Drosophila melanogaster: one gene and its partners. The protein of the gene in region 4 purifies or fractionates together with the protein of the main gene of each other region. This does not show direct contact. Each region holds a gene or a part of one and is shown on either strand. Other genes may lie near its edges.

Region 1 (5,177 bases), on a different chromosome or scaffold from region 4:
CTAAAGCAGCTGCCCAGGCGCTTAGAATTAACAGTTGATGAGCAGGTGTTCTCCATGCCAGGAGCCCTGGAAACACTTCAGTCCATTTGGCAGCTGCAATTTGGAGACAAGGCCAAAATGTTGACCACATCAAATAGCCGGAAAATTGGAAGGCGGTACAAAGGTCTACTTAAGCTACTCGCTGATGGAAGCGATGCGGAATAGTGTAGTCTCATCATGTGTAAACCATTTCCTTGTGTTGTATGTCCCAGAGCATTTTTTATTGTTTGACAATTATATAGCAAATCTAAGTACAGTAAGTCTTATCGTTCAGTTGATAGCAGAACAGCGATTCGTTGAACCTAAGTAGAACAAACACTCAGCCCCCACAGGGCTTATCTTATCAATGGATGATAGCTAGCGAAATAATTTGCGATGGTCTAGACTCTACAATTTTGGGGGTAAGTGAGGGCAAGATTAGAGAAACTTGAAATATTAAGAATTAGTAAACATACTAACGCACTGACTGTTTGCTTACTTCTTCCTTCCTTTTATACACTTGAGGAATAAGTAATTCCTTAGAAATTACCAAGTGCCATTTATACAACATTTCCCTCAACAGACAAATCACAATCAATGATTTATATTTTCTTGTAATTATTTACTTATTGTACTTTATTAATCGGATTTGTGAATGTGTCTACAATGAGCATGACAACTGATGAGGTGAATGGAGATGAGGAATCCTAGTTAAAACTGACTTAGGCTTGACCCTTAGCAGCCTCGTACATGTTTCGGGAAATGATGAGGCGCTGGATCTGAGAAGTACCTTCGTAGATTTGGTAGATCTTGGCATCACGCATCAGCTTCTCCACGGGATACTCGCTGTTGAAGCCGTTGCCTCCAAAGATCTGGACGGCATCGGAGGCAATCTTGTTGGCCATATCGGCGGCATGGCACTTGGCAATGGAGGCATAGTAGCTGTTGCGGCGTCCCTGGTCGATTTCCCAGGCGGAGAGACGCCACGCCAGACGGGATGTCTCCACACCGATGGCCATATCAGCCAGCATGAACTGCACAGCCTGGTGGTAAGCGATGGGCACGCCAAAGGTCTTGCGTTCCAGCGCGTATTTAAGAGCCTCATCCAAGCAACGCTGGGCCAAACCCACAGCTCCGGCAGCAACTGGAGGACGCGTCTTATCAAAGGTGCCCATGGCAATTTTGAAACCGGCACCCTCGCCAATCAGCACATTTTCCTTGGGCACGCGCACATCCTCGAAGGTGATGCCACGCGTGTCGGAGGCGCGCTGTCCCATGTTCAACTCCTTGCGGCCGGGCGTTAGTCCGGGACTGTCGCGCTCCACAATGAACCCGGTGAAGGCCTTGCTGGGCGGGCACTTGGGATCCGGATTGGTGCGGGCCAGCACAAAGTACCAGTTCGCCACACCACCGTTGGTGATCCACATCTTCTGGCCGTTGATTACCCACTCATCACCCTTCTTCTCGGCGCGTGTCTTGATGCCGGACACATCGGATCCTGCTCCGGGCTCTGTAACACAATAGGCGGCGACAAGTGGCTCCTCCAGCAGGCGGCCCAGGTACTTTTTCTTCTGTTCCTTGTTACCGGACAGGATCACAGGAGTTTGCTATGAAAGAACGTGGCGTTTCGATCATCTTGCCGTAAATAGACATGACTTTAAACTTACGCCCAGACCACTAGCCTCTAAGGCGGTCATGATGCCAGTGCAGCCATAGGCCAACTCCTCGGCCGACAAGCAGGTGGTGAACACATCGAGATCCAGGCCACCAATATCAGCAGGAATGTGGTTGTTCATCAGGCCCAGTTCCCAGGCCTTCTTGATGATGGGCCACGGGTACTCGCCGCTCTTGTCGTACTGGGCGGCCACCGGGATGATCTCCTCACGGGTGAACTTACGTGCCAGTTCCTGCAGCTGCAGCTGATCCTCGGTGAGTGCGAAAGAGGTGCCATTGGGCGAAACGTGTGACACGGCGGCGTAGGCGCGACTTTGGGACACCAACTGGCGCAGGGCAGGCGCAGCAAGCTGGATTTTCGGATATTGGATATCGGATTTAAAGTCAACTGGTAAACAAGTGTTTATCGAAATGCAAAATGAAAATGTAGAAATAATCAGAACAACAACAAAGTTGACCGCGAATTAATCTTAACTACAAGCAACAAATAAAATGGGCCAACTACGTATGTATTTAATTAATACAACATCATGATCATAGACGAAGGTTTTTTTTATATTTACAAGGGACTTTGGATGTTTGAGGTTCATAACCAACCATCACATTCTATTTTTTTCATAAAACAGATAACGAATATGCCTGCCCATAAAGTTTGCATTCCGATTTAAATAGAGTGCACGATAAGCCGCCATTAGACGCCGCTAATAATACTTTCTCAGGGGGGGCAAAGTACAGATGATTGCTAACAGATAGGCAGCAACAAATTGTTTTCGAAACGGAACCCACTCGAATATATGTTTGTTGGTAGGTACATATGTATATGTATGTATGATCCTACGATCAACAGTTGCTGTCGTCACTAGCGTGATAGAACTTTGGACCTTTGGATATGATATGTCCCAGCGATGTGTTTTTCACTTTCTCTGCGTTGTAAATTGACTGATATGCTCACCTTGTTGAGGAACGCCATTTGAATGTGGGTTTATTTTCGTATTTTCCTGAGTTTTAACTAGGTCGCCTTGCTAACTCGTCGGTGGCTGCCAGCGAAATGATCCAAACGAGTTGCCGATGCGCCGGTATAGCGATGTTATATATGTACATACATATGTACATTGGTTCATCGCGATATGGCAGCGACGCTTGGACATTGGACCTTGTTGCGCTGGCAGTCGCAAAAGCTACAGAATCGTGGTGACGAACGAACTACAAGCATATGCACCTACAAATATATGCAGGAGGTTGAGATAAGGGAAGATTTCGCAGACATTTGTATGCGCTGTTGATGGAACTTTCCCAAAGCTTTTCGAAGAGTTAACAAATTTGTTTGTACCTCGCCTTAATTGTAATATAATGCTTATATAAATAAATTGTATTGTAAAATATTTTTAAAATACCAACTGTACATTTCATCCAGGTTTTGTCAAGTACATAGGCATATGTGTATGAAGAGACACACCCCCTTTTTTAAGATATCAATGTACCACACGAAATACCCTACGAAATAAGCTTAATAAAACATAGCTTTAACGTAATGCCCAGCAATCTACGTAAGGTAAAAGCTTTCAGTTCACAACGTAACGTATTGCTTCTGGGCAATAGGTATAAAATAATACAATCGGGTATATTAGGCTTGAAAATGTTCGTCGGCAGAGGTCATTGAGGGATAATTCATATTAAATAGTAATATACTATATTTTGGTTAGTTTAGAATAAAATGTAGAGACAATTAGATAATTATAGGTTTCATTCGCTTTAACTTTTTAACCCCATTTTTCCATATTCAAAACATTTAAAACATGATTTGATATGTTAAATAATAAAATAAGAACCAACAGGATAGTCCCTAGTCGTTAGACTTCGCTGCCACCTGTTAGGTGCTTAACAATCGGAGCATACTTTCCCGCTTGACACAAATAGACGGAACATGTTCCTCTGGCTGTTTTAAAAATAACAGATTGCAGCCCCGCCTCCCAGCGACAAAAAAATCTCCAGCGAAACGAATTGGAAATCCGTGACACAGTTGACAGGCAGATATAAAAAACAGAGCACTACGTGGCGCGGCACGAAGACATCATTAAATCAGCATCCGCAGCCATCCAAAGTCGTAATCAGCCGTTGAAGCGAGTGGTATCTCTTATCAGCCAGGCCAGGCGCATAAAACTGGGTCCGGTTAAAGCTCTTCCGCCACGACGAGGACGAACGCGCACAGCCGAGCTGGAGCCGAAGTGGTTCGGGTGGTGCGATGGCGGGTGGCGAGTCCTGTGGCGTCTAAGGCCCAACTGGGATAGCTGCTCCTAGTCAGTCATTTGACATTGCTCCTGCGAGAAGGTTGTCCACGGTCCGAGCCCAAATCCTCCGTCGCCCACAACTCGTCCGCAAGCCAGCCGTAGTGTGTGTTTTTTTGTGCTACCCACTCCCACTTTTGGGATACATATAAAAGTGCCACCCCCGCCTTCCCAAAAAAAAAAACCGCCTCATAGAGGAGTGAAATTTTAAACAAGTGTTACCTAAGCCCAAACCTCAAAGAAACCACAACAAAAAGGGAGCAGTAGTTGAAGGTTGCGGCAAAATGGCCCAGTTTGTGACCCACATCCAGCCAACGCTGATGGAGGCGTCCCAAGGTCATGTTCCTCACCACCACGGACATCAGGTGGGTGTGCAGCACTCGTCGCATCTGCCCCACAGCGGCCACAACATGCCCTCGCCGCCAACCCACAATCACCATCATGCCCACGGACATGGTCATCATACCAGCAGCGGTGGTCATCATGGAGGAGCAGGTGGCCATTCACAGAAGCAGGCAGCGCATCATAGCACCACCTCCGGCCACGCCGCCAAGGGACAGCACCACAGCCCACCGTCGAGGATCCATTCACCGCCAACGGAACACCATCCGGATCATGTCGGTCACTACGAGTACTTCCAGCATCAGCACGAGCAGATCTTCCACCATGAAGGAGCAAACGGTGGTGCCAGCCACAAGCAACAGACCCACCACCATCCCAACAAGCACGAGCACTGCCCCACAGGACACCAGAGTGCGGTGAGTTGTCCTGCCTAGGATTACATCATTGGATTGGGATCTGGGGAATGGGTTGGTTCCCTTTAATACAGATGGTCACGTGATCAGAACTCCAGGGGACAAAGTTAGAGGTCACACCCAATTGCCTAAGGAGTGGGTTGCAGTCCATAAAGTTTAAATGACTTTAACAAGTTTTCACAATCCTACGATATCCATGTTTATCCACTTAAAGGTTTAAAGCTGTAAGTCAGCCAACGTTGGGTATGTATCTGTTGGGTTATAATTAGGCCTGGCATATCCCTTTTTCATCTTCTAGAAAGTACATGCTGAAGTACATTTTAAGGTCACATATCAACTGGTTAAAGTAACTTAAGTTTTTAATTCAATTTGATATCAAAGGACTTTTAGTTTTTCTATGGGATGTATCATCCTTTCTTCACTTAACTACCGAATACAATAACGT
Region 2 (7,885 bases), on a different chromosome or scaffold from region 4:
GAAAGAAAACTAAACAAAACAAAAAAAAAATGGTAAAAAAAAAACTAGTTTTATATGAAGTTAAGCGAACGAAGGCCGTGGCATATTATATAACGTGTATACAGAATAGCGAAAACGAGAAGAGAACGATACTACCCCAGGACACTATATACAAACGCTCTACTATATGCCTGTCAAGAACTACTCACAACCCATTATTACAGCATACATATACCCATGCCATATTACCCAAAAATTACATTAATGCATACGTACATACTCGTACTATTCGTACATACATACATGCTATCTATCCCCTAATCATACATTATATAGCATCCCCAAAACCCTATATTTCTTCACTTATCACTCGGAACTTTCAAGCCGTTGATCTTAAAGCCTAGCCTAACCGAAAACTACAACTACTAAAACTACTACTTGAGATCTTTAAGTGCAGCAGCGAATCCAAAACTAAACTAAACATTACTAACCTAGCGATCTAACTAACTCGTTTATATTGATAAGCATGAAATTGAGCTTTTTAATTGTGCAGAACCCAAATTAGAACACAAGGAAATACAGCTACAACTACACCGACACCGACACCTAAAACACAGTTGGATTTGGAGAAAGCAGCGTAGGATTTGAGGAATGAGTTATGTATGTTCTATAACCCAGCATGTCAGTATGTCCAACCTCCTTCTATAATTTCCCACGGAGCTATTTTGAAGCAATCCCGACTTTCAAGCGACAGCAGCAGGAAATTGATACATAAATGCAGAAATCAACTCGAATTTTAAGGAATTGAACTAATTAGAATTCGATTCGATTCTTTTGCATTTGAAAGTTTGTCCTTGCTGACTTCTTATATTCTGTTTGGTGAGTGGAGAAAGTAACAAGAACAAGCGTGAATAAACATCAAAATAATTGAAAACTTTTGAAAAAAGCATTTTTACTTGACATGTGCGAGCGTGTATTAAACTTGATTCGTTTATCCAAAACAGGTAAGACGTTCTCAATTTTAAAATGTAAGCTTTTATTTCAGCTTTTCAATGCGGAGATTCAGCTTATTTGTTTCAGGCATATTAACAGATTGATTTGTTTCTTTATTAGAATACGTTTCATTTGTTCACTTTAATTTGCCAGAATTTGCGCTGTTTATTGTATGAATATAATATATAATATATAGATTCGATATTCGTTTGTCTTTGCTACGTTTTGAAGAAGGCCGCATAGAGCACGAAGGCAACAGATTTACAACATCAAACACTTTACAAATACGTTTCGATTACTCATACACACATTACACACACGCCTAGCTAAGTAGGATGGATTGGAGGATAGGATTTGTTTGGATCGGCAACGATTCGAGTTCAATCAATTGTAACATCTCATTTCATCTGGAATTGTTTGTGGTTGCAGTTTGTATATAGGAATATTAAAAGCGTTAGGATCATGTTTCATTTATATTTGGGCGGGGCGGTTGGTAATCCTTGAATAATTTTCGATTTGGATATGAAAGCTACACTAATCTCATGTTGTGTTCATCCATTCATAAAAGGAAATGGTGACTCTTTTATGCAAAATATCTCAGTATAAGCGGATACAAATATATAGGAAGTTGTGTGTTTCCCATTTCAATAAGTTTCATTAAGAATTTGCGAATGTGTATAACAATAAATATAGTTTTGTAGCATTTACACAATAGTTTGCATCACTTTTCATTCAGTTTTCAACAAGTTAAAGAATATGTAATAATTACAGTTGAAATTGCAATTTAAATTAGTTTTGGATTTCGATCCCACTTGAACACTTAAGTTGCATCTGTTACACTGCACATTTACATATAATCTCTCGAAAATGGAATTTAAAACACCTGTAATCTCAGCTAATGTTATCAGCTAATTTCAAAGATTACGTTCTCCCCGCCCGTTTACAAGTGTATAGCTAAATATGAATGCTATGTTTACGTAGTGAGGCGGCTTTGCCTTATTCTCAGTTGAGTAGCCCTGCTCCAGGGGATTCCACTCCTCAAGTTAGTTCGCTGCTCGCTTTCGTCTTGTTCGCTTTCGTGTCCATCGCTCACATGGCGAAACTGAGCTGCAGAGCATTGCGCAGCTCGTTGAGCACCATGGATCCAATGACCATTTTCTCGCAGTTTACCAGCAGCGTGAGGGCATCCTCTGTTTTCCAATCGAGGGTGAGTAGCACGAGGCTTTTGGAGCTCAGGGTTTGGCCGGCGAAACAGTGTAGCTGACCGCTGGAAGAGCTGTGCGTATGCGCCACGTTGATGGACTCGAAAACCTTTTGCCGCAATGCGACCACATCGATTAGGTCCTGCCTCAGGCCACGCAACTCGCACTGATGCTCATTCATTCCACGCAGCTTGGCCCGCTCCTCGCGATGACAGCTCTCGCCGATCTGGACGGATCTCACCAGCTCGCCCACCGGCGGTTTCAATTGCAGTCGTGAACTGCCCGCACTTGACAGAAGCTCCAGGTCTACAGCATGCGTCGAATCATTGAAATCGACGCCCAGCACACCACTCGCTGTTTGTTGGGGCTGGAGAACAGTGATTGGCGCAAACTCATTCAATTGCATGCCCGCCGGCAGAGTTGTTTGCCCGAGACGAATGGCCGTAATCTCTTTTTCGCCACGATTCTGGAACTGCAGCTCAATGGAGCACATGCTCGAGGAGTACAGATGCGGGGAGCGGGTGAAACGGTAGGCCAAATGCAGTCCATGGCCACTGACCTTGTTAAGCAGCTCCTTGTGCTTGAACTCGATGTGCGAGGGACCCACCAATTCCACCCGATTGCGGGCGTGCTGCGGCTGCAGTGGCGCCGCCTGTCCAGCCATCATTGGTGTGCCTATTGAAGAATTATTATATAAAGAGGCCAATTTAGAGATGCGCATCACCTTACCAGGCGTCAGGAATCCTCCCAACGAGGGCGTCATCACGGGACCAATGGGCGGAATGTCATCCAGATCGAGTAGCAGGTCCAGATTGCTCTTGACAGCCGTTTGCTCCGGCTGTTTCTCGTGCTTCTCTTTCAACTTCTCCGGCTTTGTGCCTGTGTCCGTTTTCGTTTCGTTCTTTTTCACTTCATTATCGCTACCGGAAGCGCTGTCATCACTACTACTGCCACTGTACGCTGATGAATCCTCGCTGTCCGATGTTCCTGACGAACCTCTCGCATTGTTATTGTTGTTTATAGTTGCTTTTACAGGCGAAGAAGTAGCGGCCAGCTCATTGCTTCCAGCATCGATAAGCCGCTCCTTCACCGAGGAAACCTTGGTCGGCTGCTGCTTTTGCACCTCCTCCTCCTCCTCATCGCTGCTCCCGCTGCCATCGCTATCGGATTCACTGTCGCTGGTGCCACTGCCACTGCTGCTGCCTGATTCCGAGTAAGCGGAAGACTTGTCGTCCGACTCAGAGAGGAAGCCCTTCTCGCCACCAGCACCCTTTTCCTTACCGCCTTCACGGCCGGATTTATCCTTTGAATGTCCGGATGGCGAGTCTTCACCCGGCAGCTTGTCCTGCATAAATCCAGCTATATTGCGTACCGATGAATCCGGTGGAATCACCGGAAAGGCGGGCAGTTCCTTGTAGCCAGCCGCTGGCATGTTCAGGTAGTGAGACAACGATCCTAACTGGAAGTTATTGCCATCCCGGTATTTACTCTCCGGCACCGGAGCCGGTTTGCTGGCGAGAAATACTTGGCGGGCATGCTGGCTGAGCACCGAGCTCGTTCCGCTCGCCGGAAAGATGATTTGCCGCAGAAAACGGGCACGATCGCGTACATCGTAGTTGGGATCATAGCGAGCCAGCGTAAAGACGTACTGACACAGCAACGATGTCTGCTCCGGATTGGTCAGATAGAGCTTAACGCCTAAGTTTAGGACCTGCAGCTTCACCACATCCTGCTCATCGACAAACGATTTGGCCATTTTGCGCAGCACATCCGGGGCAATCAGCGGCACCTTCTCGTTGTATTCGCCTATAAGCCAAATGATGGCTGCCCTAGCTGCGGGCACATTGATATAATCGATCAGTTTGGCCATTTGGGTGATAATCTCAAAGTGCTCGGCGGCTTTCGTTTGCAGAAGACGCTTAATCACCACCACGCTCTCGGCCACCACGTGTTCTAAATGGAATAACGGAATACTTATAAAATTAAAATACAAATGGCTAAAAGAAAGCTTAACGCACCGTCATGATTGGACAGCAGATGAACCAGGCCACTCAAGCAGGTCTCGGTAACCTCCTTAATGCTAGATGCACATCGTCCAATGGCCTGAATCGTGGCCGCCACAAACGAACGATCGCTGCTGGAGATGTAGGTTTGAAATTCGCGCAGAATGAGCGAAATACTGCCCGCCGAGGCCAGATTGGTGAGAATATCCAGCTTGAGAAGCTTTATGTGCGTGGGATCGCTGGTGCGCACAAAGAACGACTTGAGGTGCGGCTCAAAGATCGCCTTTCGTTTGGTGGACATCGAGGCAATGCAATTGAGGACCACGCTCTGAACCTCCTTATGCGATCGCAGCAGTCGTATCAGCGCCTTGGCAATCAATTGCACTTCGTTCTTGGGAGCCACATGATGATAGAGCTGCGCCACTGCCATCACCACGGAGGCATTTCGCGATTGGAGCAATGGTTTCGTTTGCCTCAACAGCAGGCGGTGATCCACATCGATGTGGTAGCTGTTGCTCGGAGAACTGGGTGTTCTACTGCCATTTCCTCCGCCATTGTTTTTATTGTTCGTACTCGACTTGTTTTTTTCGTCATCGCTACTGCCATCATCGCTGTGGGAAGAGGAGTGCGAGGATTCGTCGTAGAAGCGTTCACTAACGGGCGTTTCGCCCAGGCCATCGTTGACCAGATCCTCATCATCCGCATTGGGATCAACGAACTGAGTGCGCGCATAGCGGGTCAACATATTAATGATGATCACCTGACCCCATTCGTCCACATCCAGCAGGAAATTGCACAGCTTGCGGTAGTTCTTGTGTATCAAATCTACACGTTCCGGACAAACCTACGAATAAAGATCCGTCGTATATAGAGGATAAATGTTTTACTTTAGCTGCAGACCCACCTCGTCGAAGGCCATCACCGCTGATCCCACCACTAGAGTAGTGCGATCCGATAAAAGCTTCTCAATGACCATGACCAGTTCATCCTTTTGATCCGCGTCCAGAGAATACAACTTGGGGATGGCATGTGCCGCTGTTTTCCGCACATATGGACTCAAATCGGCGGCGCTATCCCGAATGGCCAGCATTACGATTGGCACAATCATGCTGACCCTTATGGAGGATAACACTCGCAGAGCCGAGGCGCGAATAAGTTGATTGGGATCCTTGAGCGCCCTCTGAAATGTGGAAATGGATAGCAGGGCCAAGTCCTGCTGCTCCTCGGCGTATCGCACCAAATAGACGTAGACCAACTTCTTGACCTCGATATTCTTGGACACCACATTCTTGACGACTGCCGGGAACAGATCACTGGCATCCCGTCCGCGGGCAATCATGCCAATGATGCGCTTCATGGCCTCCAGCTTTAGTCCATCCTTGTTGCTGTCCAACATTTGCTTGAGATCATCATGCTTGCGTCCATCGGATTGGAAGAAAGCTGCTCCGCTGGCAGGATCCGCTCCGAATTCGACGTCCAGTCCCATTTGGGGCCGCTCCACATATGTGGACATGGCGAAGGGATTGCTGGCCGAGTTCTGCTGCATTCTTGCAAAGATTCCCCCGGATTACCCAGATTTCGGTTGACCACTTGACCTTTTACTTTCCGTGCTGATGATTTTTTTTTTCCTTTTTTTTTGTGTGTGGGAGTTGGCAGTTTTCCCTTTCGGTTTTTGCAAATGCGTCCAATGTGAAACCTTTGTTCCTGATGTTGAATCCTCAAGACGATCTGGTGGTCAGCTGCTCGTCCTGCCACGCAGCTTGCAAGTTTTGCAAGGGATACTATTATTTATGCCGAAATTCTGGCCAATTTTTGCATTTTTTTTTTTAGCTTTCTGTTTCCTAATGGTGGGCAACTGTCGATAGTCGCCGATTAACACATAGCACAAAAATACTAGAACACTTTAACTAACTGTGATGGAATGCACCAAGAGTTTTTCATATAGGTACGCACATAAATAAAGTAATGTATTAGTTACGATATCCAATACTTTAACCGAAACATTTCGCGGCATTCATGTTGCTTTTGAATTTTTATGAGTTGTGAGTTTTTTGTAGTGATCCGTTAAAAATTCGGTATCGCGTGTCGCGTGCACCTATCGATGCCGAATCTATCGGAAACTGCTGTTCTTCGATATGCCCTATTTGTCTACATCTATCGGAGTATATCGAATCGACTACAACTACGTGGCTGCAGTGCGTTTAATAGCGATTAAAACCAGGCCAAAAGTACTAAGACAAACGATGGAATCGACACTCGCCAAGGTGCTGCTCCTTGTGGGCAGCCTGCTGATCCTGTGCCGCACCAGCCACGCCTTCATCGTCAGCGTGGACGCCCACAATGAGGAGTGCTTCTTCGAGAACGTCGAAGGCGGCACCAAGTTTGGTACGTGAGCGATATGGATTTTCGGTCAATTGACAAGGGATCTATGCTGATAAAATGATGGTGACTTTACAGGCGTCACCTTCGAGGTGATCGACGGTGGCTTCCTAGACGTGGACATCAAGATCAGCGGCCCGGATAACCATGTGATGCACGAGAGCGAAAAGGAGTCGTCCGGCAAGTACACCTTTGTGGCCCCCGCCAAGGGAACCTACACCGTGTGCTTCAACAACGAACGCAGCAGCATGACCCCCAAGCTGGTCATGTTCTCCATCGACGTGGGTGACGCACCGCAACGTGCGCCCGGAGCACCCGGCGAGGAGGAGGTGGGCCACACCAAGCTGGAGGACATGATTCGGGAGCTCTCCGGCACGCTGACCAGTGTCAAGCACGAACAGGAGTACATGCATGTGAGTGAAGAGACGAGGTGAAGATGGAGCATCCAGCTGCCACATAATCATGATTGGGGGTTTTGGAAGAGTTTAACATGTAGCAGAATTAGGGGTACATGGAATATGGGAGCAATCGAGTAACTATTGCCACATAGTCTGGCATGCCTCCAGCATTACTTGTACAGATCCACGTCGCAAGATTTAAGAGCGGAGTCGGTAGACTTGTTCGAGGGAATGGAGCTGCTAGCTGCCACATAAACAATAACTAGTAGCGATTTTCAAACACTCATGTTTTCACCATCGGTTATAATCAGTATTGACATTATTTGTGAAGTAATCCACGACTAATCCTCCAATTTCTTTACTCCCTCAGGTGCGCGACAAGATCCATCGTTCGGTGAACGAGAACACCAACTCGCGAGTGGTGCTGTGGTCCACCTTCGAAGCCCTCGTCCTGGTCCTGATGACAGTGGGCCAGGTGTACTACCTGAAACGCTTCTTCGAGGTCAAGCGCGTCGTGTAATCCCGAGCGGAAAACCAGGATGGAAGTAGCAAAGGAAGGCGGCACACGAAGCTCTGGGGGAAATGTGTGCGCAATGCGTTGCAGTCTCAGATTTAATTTAAATGATTAACATCCTTTTGTAATTTAAATAAAATACCTTGTAAAAAGTAATTAGTGCTTGAAAGTATGTCGATCATGTTTCTGTTTCGAGAATTATTAACAGAGATTGCTATATTAGAGAAATTAATATATATATTTTTTTTTAATTACCAAATATCTCTTAATGGAAACAGAACAGCAAATATTTTCAGACACACATTCAAGGGGGGAAGAGACACTTGTGAACTTTCGAACTAAATTGATAAGAACCATTTGTTTTCTAATAAATGTAGGTTGACAAGAGAAAAGTTTGTTTGCAACTTCGAAATGGAA
Region 3 (5,411 bases), on a different chromosome or scaffold from region 4:
CCTGGACATGCTGGATGAACTGGAGAGCGACTACCTACCCGGGACTCCAGTCCACAGGAGAGTGCAGGAGGTAAAGAAGAAGCTTGGCATTGGGCAGCAAGGTCAGACAACGCCCCACGAGAGCCCAATTCTCAAGTTGCTTACGCCAAAAACGGCTCCGCCTAAAGGCACTGCTCCGCCCAAAACATCTGCACCGCCAAAAGTTTCTACCCCCCCAAAATCCACTAAGCAGATTCCAAAACCTAGGAAGCAGAAGGATCTCTCACCCGTTGCGAGCGGCGGCAAGTGCGGCTTTCTGAAATCCCTGGAGGGACAAGTGAGCCGCGATAGGGCGGACAACGAGGCCTTCTTCTATCGGGAAAACTTCGCAAGAAATAAGGATCAGCTGGCCCAGCATCTTTACAAGATGTATAACGCCCAGGTGTTCAACAACGAGCTGGATGTGCCCATCACCTGGTCCAAATTGCTGCGCAACACTGCCGGCCGGTGCATGAACAAGCGCAAGTGGGTGATTCTTATAGAGACAACCAGATATCCTCCTTGAATTCGATAAATATATATTGTTTGCAGACTTAACCAGCGTAGCAGCGTGGTGGAACTGAGCGTCAAAGTGCTGACTACCGCGGACCGCCTGCGTTGCACCTTGATACACGAACTCTGCCATGCTGCGGCCTGGGTATTCAATGGCGAGGGTGGACACGGACGGGTGTGGAAGATGTGGGCACAAAGAGCCAACGACAAGTTCCCCGATCTCCCGCAGATCAAGGTCTGCCACAACTATAGCATTGAATTCAAGTATACCTACAAGTGCCTGAGCTGCGACAAAGCGTAAGTTCTCCCAAGTGATAAAAAGAATATTATTGTCATGCAGTTTTTACGCATCACAGGTCACATGCCCATTCCCGATCCCGCAAGGTGGAAGATTTGCGCTGCAGGATCTGCCGGGGACCCATCACCCTCTTCCTGAACAAAAAGGACAAGCAAGGAAACACCGTATCCACGCCGGCGGGCGAGGCGAAGGGATTTGCTAAGTTCGTTAAGGACAACTTCCAGAGACACAAGCGCGACAACATGACTGCCGCACAGGTGATGCGCATCCTGAGCGTGGAGTACGCCAAGCAGAAGGGTCAGCCGGCGGAGGAGACAGCGGCGTCGATCGCCAGCCGAGTGGAAACGCTGACACTGGACGAGTCGTCCAACTAGCTGGGTTCTCTTTTGAGTTTTGTTAAATTATGTGCTCCAAGCCCTAAACCATTTTTGGTATATCATAGACAATTTGAAAAACTTAACTGAGATCTCAGTTCGTGCGAAGTAGTAGAAGTAGTATATTTTGTTTAATGTATTATATATTTTCTTAACCAGAAACATGGTTTCCATTAAAATTAAACGGACATTTAAAAGCTAGTGCTGTAAAGCTCGATTTTGCATAGCCGGTGTCGGCCGGCGGTGTTGGTAAAGGCGATGCTTGGACTCATTACTTACAGTGAAAGAGTATGTCTGTTTATGTATGTTAATATATGCCTAATACAACCTATTAAATAATTGCTTTGCACAATCTTGAAATGTTAAATTCTACACTGGTGAAAAGTGAGTAGTGCGGTGTACTTGCTAAGGCTAGACACAACAATTTTCTAGATGGAGTAGCAAAAAAAAAAAAAAAAAATGGCAGGGTATCCACGGGCCTACCTCCTACCTTGGCCCAAGGCGTATTAACACTGTGTTTCCGCAGTGGCGCTGGTCACACTACCCGAACTCACACAAAGCCACGGTAAACATTTGTCGCAGAACCGAACACGTCAGCTACGGGGATTGATTGTTAAACAACGTTTCTATCGCCCCGCAAATCCGATCCGTAGCAGCAGTCCATCCTGCGCCGTCCGCATCCGATCCGCGAAGTATTTTCCAGGGCAAAAACGTCAAACGCAGCAGCAAAATGGTAAGAGCCCCGACCTACGCACGCACACACCTACACGTCGGCGATTTTGGGTCTCATCGGCGGGGGTTATTGCATTCCGGTATTATCACTAAACCTATCCGACTTGCAGGTATTAATTGCTGCGGCTGTCTGCACGAAGAATGGCAAAGGTAAGTGGCTTGCATGCACCGCAAGAAATAATCACTTTAGCTAACCCGTAACGTTTGTACACGCAGTGATTCTGTCACGTCAGTTCGTCGAGATGACGAAGGCACGCATCGAGGGACTGCTGGCTGCCTTTCCCAAGCTGATGACTGCTGGCAAGCAGCACACTTACGTGGAGACGGACTCCGTGCGCTACGTCTACCAGCCGATGGAGAAACTATATATGCTGCTCATCACCACTAAGGCCAGCAACATTCTGGAGGATCTGGAGACCCTGCGCCTCTTCTCGAAAGTGGTGAGTTGCACACGGATGTACTCAAGCCGCAGTGTTAATCAGGCCCATCGCTTGCAGATTCCCGAGTACAGCCACTCGCTCGACGAGAAGGAGATTGTGGAGAATGCCTTCAATCTGATCTTCGCATTTGACGAGATCGTGGCACTCGGCTACAGGGAGAGCGTCAACTTGGCCCAGATCAAGACCTTCGTGGAGATGGACTCACATGAGGAGAAGGTCTACCAGGCAGTGCGTCAGACGCAGGAGCGTGATGCGCGCCAGAAGATGCGCGAGAAGGCCAAGGAACTGCAGCGGCAGCGCATGGAGGCCAGCAAACGGGGTGGTCCCTCCCTGGGTGGCATTGGCAGCCGCAGCGGCGGCTTTAGCGCCGACGGAATTGGCAGTAGCGGCGTGAGCAGCAGTTCCGGTGCCTCCAGCGCCAACACCGGCATCACCTCCATCGATGTGGACACCAAATCCAAGGCGGCTGCGTAAGTTCTTTCTCTGCTCTATTAAATCTAGGCTCCTGACTCATTGCTCTGATTTCATCAGCAGTAAACCAGCTTCCCGCAATGCCCTCAAGCTAGGTGGCAAGTCCAAGGACGTCGATAGTTTCGTGGATCAGCTGAAGAACGAGGGCGAGAAGATTGCCAATCTGGCACCGGCGGCGCCCGCTGGAGGTTCCAGTGCTGCAGCTAGCGCCAGTGCAGCGGCCAAGGCAGCTATCGCGTCGGACATTCACAAAGAGAGGTGGGTTTCAGCTCGATTGTATAGTTAGTTATTAAATGCATAACATCTATTTTCAGCGTACATCTGAAGATTGAGGACAAGCTAGTAGTGCGTCTGGGACGCGATGGTGGCGTGCAGCAGTTCGAGAACTCGGGCCTCCTGACGTTGCGCATTACGGACGAGGCCTACGGACGCATTTTGCTGAAGCTGTCTCCCAACCACACACAGGGCCTGCAGTTGCAGACCCACCCCAACGTGGACAAGGAGCTGTTCAAGTCGCGCACTACCATCGGACTAAAGAACTTGGGCAAGCCGTTTCCCCTTAACACCGATGTGGGTGTGCTCAAGTGGCGCTTCGTCTCGCAGGACGAGTCGGCAGTCCCGCTGACCAGTAAGTTCATCCAAACCCAAACAACTTCTTCCCTCTCGCTCAGCCACGTGCTTGTGTTTCTCCCTTTTTCCCAGTTAACTGCTGGCCATCGGATAATGGAGAGGGTGGATGCGATGTTAACATTGAGTATGAACTGGAGGCGCAGCAGCTAGAGCTGCAGGACGTGGCCATTGTCATTCCCTTGCCGTAAGTGTAGTAATGGCGTAGATGTGCAGGCGATTACTTATTCCATTTCACCCTTAGAATGAATGTGCAGCCTTCGGTGGCGGAGTACGACGGCACCTACAACTACGATTCACGCAAGCATGTGCTCCAGTGGCACATTCCAATAATCGATGCCGCCAACAAGTCCGGTTCTATGGAGTTCAGCTGCAGTGCCTCCATTCCCGGTGACTTCTTCCCCTTGCAGGTGTCCTTCGTCTCGAAAACGCCGTATGCGGGCGTCGTGGCCCAGGATGTGGTGCAGGTGGACAGCGAGGCGGCGGTCAAGTATTCAAGCGAGTCCATTCTGTTCGTGGAAAAGTACGAGATCGTGTAGGCCGCGCCGCTGGCCACGCCCACCTAAGTAGTACATAAATATACATAATTTCCCGGGGTCATCCGATGCGATGCAATTAATTCAACTGCTGCAGCATGTTGAGAATTATTTTTCCATGTGCGAACTTTACATATTTATGGCGCAGACAGCTTCTCAGAGCGAGTAATTGATTCCAAAAAAAAAAAAAAAAACACCATCAAAGCCAATTAATTAAACTAATTTTGTGCACTCCGCTGCGCTGCATATAACGGTATCAAATAAATTAATTGCAATTAGTTGTAACTGGCGATTGCAGTGTTTTGTTTTGTGTGCTTCGTCGCACCCCTTCGATTTGAGTAATTTGTATGTAGATTGCTATGAATAAACCATATACAATATACACCAAAGTGGATTGTTTCTGGATTCTTAACTATAAGCGAAGGTTATCCCTTTTTTTTAAACTAAAAACTAAATATTAAATTTGAGTCACTTTTTTTTGCAAGTAGTACCCACTGTGCATGGATTCTTAACGCCCGGCTTATTGGTATTGCCGTCTTCTCGGCGAGCGGTCACACTGGTCATTGTTTTGGTTCTGTTCTTGCTTTGTTTTTTCACTGCGGAAATAACGACGTCGTCCATGGAGCAGCAACTGGAGAAAGTCCTAGCGGAAATGTAGGCACACTCGATCCGTCGATTCCAGATAGTACTCCAAATAAACCACAAATCCATAACGTATTTTCAGCGCCGCACGGCAGGACACAGTGGGAGCTCTGCTGGCCAATCGCCAGGGATTGTGTTTGGGCAGTGAGTATCGATGATTAGTCAGTGGCCGTGCCGTAATGCCACAATACATTTTTGCAGCCAAAGGAGACATTGATCCGAACGTGTCCGGCATCGGAATGGCCATTTCCGAGCAGGTGGCCAAACTGGAGCTGAATGCCACGGCTCCTGCAACGATTTGCCTTTACAGCGGAAACAAGTAAGTGGGAGGAGGGATATGAGGGGCTGTATCTAGGTGGACTAGATACGGACTACTCTTGGAATAGTCGGAATAGTTTAAAGAATGTACCTTAAACTATTTATGAATTATATTTCTGCTGCGTATTAATTGACACCCGTTTCTTTCCCCGCAGACGCTGTGTCATCCAGAAGGACGGCGAGATCACAGGCGTTATCTTCAAGCAGCCGACGGGTACATCGGCGACCGCCCCCAGCAACTAACGAAAGTTGGGGCCTCAATCGCAACTCTCAGGCCAAATACGCAAGTCAAAATACGGATACGGATACAAAGCCAGATACAGATACTTATATCTTCCAAGTCGCGCCCGCTTCGCTCGATTCGCCCGATGGTAGCGCCTGTTACATTTGTCGCTCATTCTAACCGATAGCCATTACCATAAGCATTGTTTTGTACGACTCG
Region 4 (4,408 bases):
CAAGATTAAACTGCACTGATTGGTTTAAATAGCCCATTTTTATACCTGTTACTCGTAGAGTAAAAGGGTATACTAAATTCGTTGAAAAGTATGTAACAGGCAGAAGAAGCAGCGTTTCCGATCCAGCCGAGTCGATCTGGCCATAGATATTAGAGTCTTTAATCTTATATATCTTACGAACTAAAGCATACAGATTCTAGACGACATAGACAATTTTTTTGACCCATGTTACCACGCCAATTTCAACACAAACAAGCTGTAGAAGAAGCGTTTCCGAACATCCAGCCGAGTCGATCTGGCCAAAGCTATTAGTGTCTTTGATCCGGCCATGGATATCTAGACACCTCACGAACTATAAAAGCTAGAAGATTAAGATTAAGCATACAGATTCTAGAGACATAGACGCAGCGCAAGTTTGTTGGCCGATGTTGCCAAGCCAATTTTGACGCAAACAAACTGGCCAAAACTGTCCACACTTTTGAAATATGTTTTGATATTTTTATTAGTCTTGTAAATTTCTATCGATTTGCCAAAAAAAATTTTGGCCACTCGCACTCTAACGCAATAAAACCACCCAAAACGGCCTCGACCACATTTTTAAAAAACTTTCGATATTTTTTCATAGTTTTATATTTTGTCGAATTCTTTCTCGAATTCCACGAGAATCAGATACCATTTACTCAGCAGGAAGTGTGAAAGATTTCAATAAGAATAACCAATTTTTTAAGAATGTTCGGCATGTTTGAGCGATTTTGGGTGGGGGGTTTTGGGGATTTTGGGTTACAAGACTAATAAAAATATTTTAAAATATCAAAAGTTTTCTCTCCGTAAATACCTCTGGAAGCTGCATGTCTAATCTCAATTCTCTACCTTTAATAGTTCTCTTCATACGGACATAGAATCTGCATGTCTAATCTCAATTCCCTACCTTTAATAGTTCCTGAGACCGAGGCGTTCATACGGACATGCCCAGATCAACTCGGATATTGGTCCTGATCAGGAATATATATTCTTTCTAAGGTCGGAAACGCTTCTGCTAACAGTTACGTAGTTTTCAACAAATCTGGTGGCTATTAAAAACTGAATTAACATAAATGAGTACGAATCAAAAATATGTTTATTTGATTGAATTCTGGTAATGGTATTGAGGCATACTAATAAAAAAACGAACATATATTTTCCCGAATAAGTAAGTTAAAAATATATTTTTATTAGTTATCCGATCACTAATTTTTAAAAATACAACTAAGGCAAGTGCAGTTTTCTCACCAACACATAAAACGTGGACATTTTAAATTTACAACAAAGTTCCAAACGAGTTTATATACATTTACAAGTTTATTTAAAATCTAGTTTTCAGCATACGAGAACAGCAATTCCTATCTTACAATATAAGGAATATTTTTATTTTTTAGCCAATTCAGCTGATAGCCAATCAAGTCCTTCATAAAGACCGTGCCCTTGGGTAGCACATGTAGACTGAATAAACCACTAAAAATGGGTAGATATAAGTAAACATTTTTGGGACAATTACCCCTAAGACATACGTGGCGATTCCTTAATTGGTTAAGGCGCAACTTGTCCGTAAGCTCGGCAGCTGTCATTGCATTCGGTAGGTCCTGTTTGTTGGCAAAAACCAAAAGTACCGCGTCCCTAAGTTCATCCTCCTGGAGCTGTGGGAAAAATAAACATGGAATTGGTTGACACGTATGTATATACTTTTAATTAAATAAAATGAGTACCATGTTCTGTAGTTCTCTTTCAGCTTCAGTTATACGATCGCGGTCGTTGGAATCCACTACAAATATAAGACCCTGTGTATTTTGGAAATAGTGTCGCCACAACGGGCGAATTTTGTCTTGGCCACCAACATCCCAAACGGTAAAACATATATTCTTATATTCCACAGTCTCGACATTGAAGCCTATGGTTGGTATGGTGGTTACAATTTCACCCAGCTTTAATTTGTACAGAATAGTCGTTTTTCCAGCAGCATCCAAGCCAACTGCGTACAAAAATATTTAAAATTATGTGCACGTTGATTGCAAGTACTTAAAAATTATGCGCGAACTAAAGGCTTATATTTAGTGTATCGTATTTTGAACATACCCATAAGAATACGCATTTGTTTTTTTCCAAACAAACGTGTCAAAAGACTAGATATTGTTAGTCCCATGTTTAATAAGAAACTATTTTATTTCGTATAGGAAAAAGCTTGTCTTCAGTAACTTCAGTAAATTGACGTGTAAACTAGTCATTCGATTAATAATGCTGTACTTTTCAGAAAAGTTAAACGATGGTTAAAAATACTGTTTTCTATAAAATACTAATAACAGTATGTTGACTATACCCTAAGCATGGTCTGATGAAAACAATAAAAAGAAACACAAAACTACATCGATAATACAATGTTTTGACTGCGCCATTAAGTCGAATGTCGATAAAACCATTTTCGTGTACATTTTTTAAGTGAAATATTTAAATTGACCTAGAAAGGCTGCCCCCAAGGGGTTAGTGAGCATATAACTTAGACTCGGAGTTACACAATTTTTAAAAATCACAACTGTTTTTTACGAATGTGCTCTGTAGGACTATGGTATTATTCGCGAATTCTAATTGCCAAAACAACTTTTTCAAATCAAATTTAAAAATCAAATTTAAAAACGATGTTACAAATTTTTCAAACACTATAAAGCTGCCTGAAAACAAAAAACTTAGGTTCTTCCTCTCTATTAACCAAAAATTAAGACATTTTTATTAATCAAAGGTCTGCTATTGCCAATATGTCGATATCAGGCCAAGATAAATGACAATCACTATATTTTGGTTGCGATTTGCAATAGTTAACAACATAAATATTCTGCCTCTGATCAAAAATAAAAAAAAAATGTTGAGTCTTGGGATATCAAGGAATCAAAATATCTATATATGAAAATATCCTACCCAAAAATTCCAGTCATTTGTAAATCAAAACAGCGTAAGCACCCCTTAACTTTCCTTTTAAACAAACCATGGTATCACTTAAAATTCGATTAAAATGTTAGAGCATAGTCTCCACAGGGCCTTATATGTTGTTTTTTTTAATCACTTTTCAAGTATTAACCACTTCCACACAAGGATCTGAAAATGTCGGATAAACGTTTCCAGTGTATTGACTTCTGTATTTAAACTTACAACTAGTTTTTCAAACGTCACAAGTAATTATTTTGCTGACAAAAGTAAGAAACTATGTAATGAAACAAAAAAAATTATTTTCTGAGATTTTGTTAATGTGCCCCGTCTAATTAACTTGTACTATTTCATATTTGAGTCGATTTAAATCTATGCATATGTAAAAGTTATAATCAAAGTATTTAGGTTACGCATGATTCCCTTCGGATAGGTTCGCTATTCGTTCAGTTAGGCAATCCAAGTTCATTACAGAATGTGTATCTCTTGGATACAACACATACACAAGATTTTCTCATCCATGCATATTCATATATACTAATGTAATACATATATGTAATCCAACAATCAGTTTCACTGTGGTACATTTTATAATGTTTAATCATATATAGTCACGGGAACTAGAGTTTATACACGGTCCTCGAATAAAATGTGTTTTGGAGCTGTAAGCTAATCAACAAAAAATGAGACTAACTAAAAAAAAGTGCTACTAAAATTCCCAGACTTTCCACTTTCTGTCCTACATATATATAATTAAAGAAAATCCGAACCAATTTGAATAACTTATCTATTTTATTCTAACACCAACAACAACTTTAAAAAGTTTTTGATTTAACGTAAAAAATTGGCCGTAATTCTTGTTGCTTTGGTTACATTCTTTCTATTGTATTGTACCAACGAAAAAAGTAGAGAAGCACCGAGACGGTAGTGGAATTATTCCGGAACACTTTCGATACTCTTTTTCGAGTGGAAGTGGTTTCATGAGGAGGAAATTTGGTGTTCCTTTTTGCCGGGCTCTTTCATACTTCCCGTGCTGTAGGAACTCCGTGAAAAGCTTCTGTAAGCATTCCCTAAATGTCTTCTGGATATATTCCGAGACTATATTACAATACTTTCGTAAACATTACTCAGGATTGTTTTCTAGATACTTTCCAGAATAAATTATCAGGAAAATTTATATTGAGTGCTTTGAAAGAAGAAGTGTTTCCAAAGTATAAAACAAAATCTCGGCTTAACCAATATTTAATTTTTTATTATTATGAACTGAACTCTGTAATACTTCTTTTCCTTGAACGTTTCTTTTTCTCTCAAAATTCATTCATTGTTTATCCTTTCATAAGAGCCCTTGAAGCGCAAGACTGTGTAATCTTAAAAAAATGTTCAGAAATAAATATAATTTTATGTGTCTGCAAAAAATTTATTAAGCAACAAAAAAATTTGTCGAATTTCGTTTTCGCGT

Evidence for each region.
Region 1: the proteins of Arf4 (region 4) and Mcad purify together in Drosophila melanogaster (affinity purification with mass spectrometry, with the first as the bait; one large-scale study listed by BioGRID). This does not show direct contact.
Region 2: the proteins of Arf4 (region 4) and rb purify together in Drosophila melanogaster (affinity purification with mass spectrometry, with the first as the bait; one study listed by BioGRID). This does not show direct contact.
Region 3: the proteins of Arf4 (region 4) and deltaCOP purify together in Drosophila melanogaster (affinity purification with mass spectrometry, with the first as the bait; one study listed by BioGRID). This does not show direct contact.

The regions. Positions count from the first base shown.
Region 1 is NT_037436.4:7,716,925-7,722,101, reverse strand, and holds Mcad (Medium-chain acyl-CoA dehydrogenase), read right to left. Parts: upstream 2,753-5,177; 5' UTR 2,663-2,752; coding exon 2,645-2,662; intron 2,204-2,644; exon of another isoform or gene 2,043-2,203; coding exon 1,686-2,042; exon of another isoform or gene 1,626-1,685; coding exon 741-1,625; 3' UTR 630-740; downstream 1-629. Other genes in the region: CG7457 (uncharacterized protein), read left to right, coding at 1-204.
Region 2 is NC_004354.4:4,534,583-4,542,467, forward strand, and holds rb (ruby), read right to left. Parts: upstream 6,045-7,885; 5' UTR 5,724-6,044; coding exon 5,082-5,723; intron 5,022-5,081; coding exon 4,193-5,021; intron 4,128-4,192; coding exon 2,904-4,127; intron 2,850-2,903; coding exon 2,062-2,849; 3' UTR 1,053-2,061; downstream 1-1,052. Other genes in the region: CHOp24, read left to right, coding at 6,421-6,562, 6,635-6,969, 7,325-7,474.
Region 3 is NC_004354.4:1,858,120-1,863,530, reverse strand, and holds deltaCOP (coat protein (coatomer) delta), read left to right. Parts: upstream 1-1,740; 5' UTR 1,741-1,933; coding exon 1,934-1,936; intron 1,937-2,045; coding exon 2,046-2,085; intron 2,086-2,151; coding exon 2,152-2,375; intron 2,376-2,432; coding exon 2,433-2,845; intron 2,846-2,906; coding exon 2,907-3,104; intron 3,105-3,160; coding exon 3,161-3,474; intron 3,475-3,548; coding exon 3,549-3,660; intron 3,661-3,717; coding exon 3,718-4,012; 3' UTR 4,013-4,390; downstream 4,391-5,411. Other genes in the region: Gcna (germ cell nuclear acidic peptidase), read left to right, coding at 1-504, 571-828, 888-1,203; Lamtor5 (late endosomal/lysosomal adaptor, MAPK and MTOR activator 5), read left to right, coding at 4,629-4,663, 4,734-4,795, 4,853-4,970, 5,125-5,212.
Region 4 is NC_004353.4:1,122,033-1,126,440, reverse strand, and holds Arf4 (ADP ribosylation factor 4), read right to left. Parts: upstream 2,275-4,408; 5' UTR 2,177-2,274; coding exon 2,110-2,176; intron 2,006-2,109; coding exon 1,743-2,005; intron 1,674-1,742; coding exon 1,548-1,673; intron 1,492-1,547; coding exon 1,405-1,491; 3' UTR 1,116-1,404; downstream 1-1,115. UniProt on the Drosophila melanogaster protein: GTP-binding protein involved in protein trafficking; may modulate vesicle budding and uncoating within the Golgi apparatus.